2 linked regions of the Macaca mulatta genome follow. The protein of the gene in region 1 purifies or fractionates together with the protein of each later gene. This does not show direct contact. Links are inferred from orthologs where the notes say so. Each region holds a gene or a part of one and is shown on either strand. Other genes may lie near its edges.

Region 1 (3,190 bases):
TATCCTGCACTAGAATTAGAGTGAGGCCTGAAAAAGGCAGAAGGAAAGCAATGGTTCCTGGGGAGTGCAGAGAGAACACTTCAGCAGCTGCTGCTGGTGCTAAATTGTCACTTCTGATGTGGTGTGACAGTTACAGTGGCTGAAATATGTTAGAGAAACCCACGTTACTGGACTAAATCTAGATCATTAGAGAGCAGTATTATACCCACTTGTTTGTTATCAACAGGGTTTGGTCACAAACGATGTGACTTGTTTTTGTTTTTGTTAACCTGATGTAGTATAAATACATTAAGAGTGTTTGAATTTGTAGCTGACACTGAGCTTCTTAACACTCCCACCTTTCTACTCATGGTAGGTCCTTTTCGTGTAACATAGAAGCTGTAATTCTGATTTCCCTCTGAACAGGGAAAATTACTGTTATAACGTTTTTCAAAGACCCAACACAATGAAGATGGAATATGGACATATTTAAATATTGGGTTTTTGAATCTGAAAATAGGAAAAATACAGGAAACTTTTGAACTTCCTTTAAAAAATTGACAAATTTTGACTGTGAGATACAATTTTAGCTTTTTTTTTTTTTTAAGTCTCACTCTGTTGCCCAGGCTGGAGTGCAATGCTGCGATCTTGGCTCACTGCAACCTCTGCCTCCCAGGTGTAAACAATTCTCTGCCTCAGCCTCCGAAGTAGCTGGGATTACAGGTACCTGCCACCATGTCCAGGTAATTTTTGTAATTTTAGTAGAGATGGGGTTTCACCATCTTGGCCAGGCAGGTCTTGAACTCCTGACCTTGTGATCTGCCCACCTGGGCCTTCCAAAGTGCTGGGCTTACAGGCATGAGCCACTGCACCCAGCCAATTTTAGCATTTTTTTTAGTAGCTATTTGAGCTTTCCTTAAGGCGAGACATGTACAGATAATAAATCATGATTTTTGAGTTTCCTGAGGTCTGTTGTCTAGTAAATGGCATGGGCTATAAACAGACAACTAAGGAAGTGAAAAAGACGGGAGAAGAGGGCAAAGGATGAATAAAGTGCTGGGTTGAAAGTTAACCAAACTTGAGTTACAGCTGAAACCTCGAAGGTACAAATCTGTGCCCAATGGCATATGCAGAATATTTATAAGCTTTTTTTGTGCTTCTGGAATGGGAGAGGAGTGATCTGAATTTTAGTTTTGTTCTGGTCGTGACATGTAGTGTGTTGATACTTCCATCTGGATAGCTGAATTGGTATAATTGAGTTTTAAATGAAAAAGAATTGGTTAAACTAAAATATTTGCAAATATCACCTGATTTTAGGGAAATTTCAAGAAACAATAAACAAGTCATCAGACTAATAATAAAATACTGATTTTCTCTGGATAATTTATGGCTAAAGAACATGATTTTCATTATGGCATAATTGAAGTACACTTCCAATGGGAAATATTTGAATAAACTAACATTTTTGCCCTCTCTGAACTTTCTAACAACTGAAAATGTTCTCACCTGGGGGGCAATGATGAAAAACATTAGTTAATACTGTTCCCCCACTCCTTACCTATAGTATCAGGAACAAAAATACCACCAAATATGTGATGTCATATTTTCAGTGTTACTGAATATTACTTTTTTAGCAGGAAAAAACATTGAATTTATAAAATTTATTTATTTTCTCAATAGATTAGCAAAAGGCTTGAGCAAAATTTGGACTAAATTACTTTGCATTAGATTTCTGGCCTTTAAGAAAATTAGAATAGTTTTCACTTACTTAAATGCCCACTACATGGAAATTCCTTTTTGAAATGGTAGCAATAACAGAAAAAATGATCAGTTCATTACATAGTATGTATTAAGTGAGGGCATTTGAATTGCCAACTTCCTATAATCTCTATAGAAATTTTAGTGCCTGTAATCACTAAGTTGAGTGTGGGCTCACTAGATATTTATGTTCCTTTCTTTGAGCTTATTACCTTCAGTTTTTCTTTAAAAAAAAAATCAAAAGAGCAGTTGAAGAAAAGTGGAGGAGATAAGTTCCAGTTGGCTATGCAGTTTTGAAACAGATTTATCTGAATTTTCCATTACTATATTTGTCAGTTATGAATTTATTTTAGAATAAAAGCCTTGCCTAAAAATAAATTGATAAGACATAAGCTATATATTTGAGCAAATAAGTTTTGCTACAATTCCCCAGTTTCTTGCAAGCTAACCATTACTTTTAATCTTTGGTGATGTTTACATTGATATCAGACCTACATCAACAAATATATTTTAGGTTTGCTTCCCAAACCAAATTTTGCTCGATAAATATTAGGACAGAAAATGAGCACAAGATGGCTATGAAAGAATGCATAAAAATAGGCTTCCAAAAATCAGCATTTTTTTCCAAATTTTGAAAAGTAAAAAAACATAAGAAAAAAATTTGTCTTAGAAATAGAAGAGAGTGGAAAGTGAAAATGAACTTTAAGTTTAAGAGACCAGAGGGCCCATAGATACTCTAAAAATTCATAGACAAAGAAAATATTTGTGCATGCATTATTTAAGGAAGAACTCTCAGCAAACATTTTATAGCCCTAAACTTTTTCATGTACTTTGTCCAGAATCTAACTTCAATATAATCATGATGTCTTAGAAACTTTCTAAGCAATACTTAATTAAGATACACTTCTAATAGGACAAGTTGCTTTTAGCCTCTTTGTAAGAGGCTAAAATATCTCCAATGCTCTCCTTTGAGATATTTACCATGAGCCAATTACACAGATGATTTTAGATCTGATGAGAACAAAATAAGAGGGAATTCTGTAAAATCAGAAGGCGATTGACTACAAAATTAGCCAAACAAGAATCAAATTTTACATTAAAGACCACAAGAAATGTATAATAAATCCACTGTTATTTATGAAGGCACACACAAAATTGAAAAGGACTGATTATAAAATTATGAAGTCACACAATATACAAAACGAATAAATATTTGTTATTTTAGTATAGCTGAAAAGATACAAATATTATTCTGACTTGTGACTTTATGCTCATTCAGATCACTAAACTTTACATACCATTCGTCCTTAATAAAAGTTTGTTGTTGTTATCAAATGCTTTTAAAAAATGTAATTAATGTCTTAAAAGTGTGCAATTATCAGTTGTGAAATAGGATAAAACACAAAGTCATGTAAGATGTGTTTTCTCAATTGTTATCCAAGGCTGAGAACTA
Region 2 (3,829 bases), on another chromosome or scaffold:
TGATAAAGATCTAATTTTTTTTTTTTTTTTTTTTTTTTTTTGAGAAGGAGTTTCACTCTTATTGCCCAGGCTGAAGTGCAATGGCATGATCTCAGCTCACTGCAACCTCTGCCTCCTGGGTTCAAGCCATTCTCCCGCCTCAGCCTCCAGAGTAGCTGGGATTACAGGTGTGTTCCACCATGCCCAGCTAATTTTTGTATTTTTAGTAGAGATGGGGTTTCACCGTGTTGACCAGGCTGGTCTCAAACTCCTGACCTCAGGTGATCCACCTGTCTTGGCCTCCCAAAGTGCTGGAATTACAGGCATGAGCTACCATGCCTGACTTTTTTTTTTTTTTGAGACAAAGTCTCGCTCTTTCGCCTAGGCTGGAGTGCAGTGGCCACAATCTTGGGTCACTGCAACCTCAGCCTCCTGGGTTCAAGCAGTTCTCCTGCCTCTGCCTCCTGAGTAGCTAGGATTACAGGCATGTGCCACCATGCCCGGTTAATTTTTGTATTTTTTTGTAGAGACTAGGTTTTACCATGTTGGCCAGGCTGGTCCTGACCTCCTGACTTAAAGTGATCCACCTGCCTGGCCTCCCAAAGTGCTGGGGTAACAGGCGTGAGCTATCGCGCCTGGCCTGAGAAATCTCATTCTTACTCCTACTCCTTTGTACCACACTATCTCCATCCTGTAGGTAGCCATTTCTATTAATTTCTTGTTTATTCTTATGTGTTTCTTTCATTCTTTTTCTTTCTTTTTTTTTTTTTTTTTTTTGAGACAATCTTGCTCTGTTGCCCAGACTGGAGTGTAGTGGCACAATCTTAGCTCCCTGCAACCTCCGCCTCCTGGGTTCAAGTGATTTTGATGACGCAGCCACCTAAGTAGTTGGGATTACACCACCGTGCCCAGCTAATTTTTGTATTTTTAGTAGGGATGGGGTTTCACCATGTTGTCCAGGCTAATCTCAAACTCTTGACCTCAAGGGATCTGCCTGCCTCGGCCTCCCAAAGTGCTGGGATTATAGGCATGAGCCACCATGCCCAGCCCTATGTTTCTTTTTACAAAAATAAGCAAATTTATATTTTTATTACTATTTTCCTTTTATTTTTACACATCAAGTAGAACATTAAATATATTTCTTTGTAATTTTTTTTCACTTACCTAAATCTTTTAGTGATCTCTCTCATCTTTTTAATCAGCTGGATAGCATTCTATCATGTGAATATTTCATAACTTCTATATACTGTCACCAGCAGGTAGCGATTTAGTTGTGTCCAGTATTTTAAAATGATACATAATGCCTCCATGAATGTAGTAACCTTTTGCATATATTGTTTTGTGCTTTGGGATAACACTACCTCATATTCAAAACTGTGTCATTACATGTGTCTTTAAAATTACATGTGTCTTTTTATTTTTATTTTTATTTTTTTTGAGTCAGAGTTTCACTCTTGTTGCCCAGGCTGGAGTGCAGTGGCGTGATCTCAGCTCACCGCAACCTCTGCCTCCCAGGTTAAAGCAATTCTCCTGCCTCAGCCTCCCCAGTAGGTGGGATTATAGGTGCCCGCCACCACGCCTGGCTAATTTTTGTATTTTTAGTAGGGACGGGGTTTCACCGTGTTGGCCAGGCTGGTCTCGAACTCCTGACCTCAGGTGATCCTCTCACCTCAGCCTCCCAAAATGCTGGGATTACAGACGTGAGCCACTGTGCCTGGCTATCTTTTTTTTTTTTTTTTTTTAATTGCTGCATAGTAGCCCGGCACGGTGGCTCATGCCTGTAATCCCAGCACTTCGGGAGGCAGAGGTGGGCAGATCACGAGGTCAGGAGACGGATACCATCCTGGCGAACAGGGTGAAACCCTGTCTCTACTAAAAATACAAAAAAAATTAGCCTGGCATGGTGGCGGGCACCTGTAGTCCCAGCTACTTGAGAGGCTGAAGCAGGAGAAGGGCGTGAACCTGGGACGTGGAGCTTGCAGTGAGCCGAGATTGTGCCACTGTACTCCAGCCTGGGCGACAGAGTGAGACTCTGTCTCAAAAACAAAAAAGCAAACAAACAAACAAAACAAACAAATTGCTGCATGGTATCCCATTGCATGAATAGTAACAGCAATTTTTGCAATGCATAGTATTCCATTGTATGAATAGTAATGTAACACAATTTGTTTATACATTTTTATGATTAAAAAGCAAAATGGTTTTTGGTAGCTATTCAGTTATTGTTACTTAATATATGCAATTCGATAGGCCAGTCTTTCAAAATAGAAGATATACCAGATAGGTCGGGCGTGGTGGCTCACGCCTGTAATCCCAGCACTTTGGGAGGATCACCTGAGGTGGGTGGATCACCTGAGGTTAGGAATTTGAAACCAGCCTGACCAAAATGGAGAAGCCCCATCTCTACTAAAAATACAAAATTAGCCGAGCGTGGTGGCGCATTCCTGTAATCCCAGCTTCTCAGGAGGCTGAGGCAGGAGAATTGCTTGAACCTGGGAGGCGAAGGTTGCAGTGAGGCAAGATCACGCCATTGCACTCCAGCCTGGGCAACAAGAGCAAACATATGCAAGGTAAACAAAAAGACCTTTGTGTTGAGTTGGTTGATTATGTGGTTATTTCACCCATCATATTTCTTATAGGGAATGGGTAAATTCGTTTCTTGGGTTTCTTTCAACATTTAGATGAAGTCTGACGTGGAACATGAGATCTGATTTTACTGGTGTAACTCGTTATTTGTCCCCTTGCCTCCCTTTCCAATGGACTATTTTAGAAGAAATGGAGCTGTCACCCACATCAAGATTCAGAACACTGGTGATTACTATGACCTGTATGGAGGGGAGAAATTTGCCACTTTGGCAGAGTTGGTCCAGTATTACATGGAACATCACGGGCAATTAAAAGAGAAGAATGGAGATGTTATTGAGCTTAAATATCCTCTGAACTGTGCAGATCCTACCTCTGAAAGGTCAGTAACATTTTAGTGACCACAAAGTCTGCTGCTCCCTTGTGCCCTATGTGTCAGAAATGCATGACTGAGGTCTGTGTATGACTTTCTGACTCCAAAGGCTTGTGACTGTTTTTTGAGCTGTAATCTTTAAAGAATTATTAAAGTGAGACTAATAGCATCAAATTATTTTCAGAGTACCTTTTTCTTGCAAAAGTTTTAATCAGTGTTACTTACACTCATCCTATGGGGATTGCATAGCATTCCTGCATATACTTGGTTACATGTATTAGTTTTAAGACTTATTGAACTTTGGCGGATAATCTTTGAGAGTTATTAGAAGAAAACAAATGATAATGGAGACACCAAAATAGCAGCAGTTTTCTATGGTGGCTCTCGACCAGTTATTCAGCAGTGCCACCAACAGATGTCAGTTTAAGCTCAGAAGTGGAAAAGCAGAGAGCTCAGAGGGTCAGCTTTTTCATCAATTCTTTTAATGTTATCTCCACAATTATGTGAGAGTGACCTTACTTAGAGAGAATTGTGTTATTTTCAAGATCTGTCCCCCTGTATTGGAACTAGCCTGATGAAAGCATGGGCTTGACTTATTTATTGATTGTATTTGTTTTGTACACTCCCAGTCTCCTCTCTGACTTGGTGCAAATTCAGGATCTCTTAGTTTGTATATTTTGTGTCTTCAGGTATGATTTTATTAGCTTATACCTTTATGTCAGTGCTATTATGTGCTGATAATTTGTTTCTCTAGCTACCACTATAGCTTCAGGCAAAAGACTGTCAGCCAACTCTGTACAGTTTATTTCTAAATTTTACTGTTTTCAGTTGAGTGTGGATGAAAAATAACTCAAAGTTTATTCGTTTGATGATGAGCCATTAACACCACCTGCC

Evidence for each region.
Region 2: the proteins of THEMIS (region 1) and PTPN11 purify together in Homo sapiens (co-immunoprecipitation; 3 studies listed by BioGRID and IntAct, counting the BioPlex papers as one, with this or other methods). This does not show direct contact. The link is inferred for Macaca mulatta from reciprocal best matches to the Homo sapiens genes THEMIS and PTPN11.

The regions. Positions count from the first base shown.
Region 1 is NC_133409.1:32,845,095-32,848,284, reverse strand, and holds the end of THEMIS (protein THEMIS), read left to right. Parts: intron 1-587; coding exon 588-797; 3' UTR 798-2,397; downstream 2,398-3,190.
Region 2 is NC_133416.1:119,689,459-119,693,287, forward strand, and holds part of PTPN11 (tyrosine-protein phosphatase non-receptor type 11), read left to right. Parts: intron 1-2,749; coding exon 2,750-2,944; intron 2,945-3,829. UniProt on the Homo sapiens protein: Acts downstream of various receptor and cytoplasmic protein tyrosine kinases to participate in the signal transduction from the cell surface to the nucleus. Positively regulates MAPK signal transduction pathway. Dephosphorylates GAB1, ARHGAP35 and EGFR.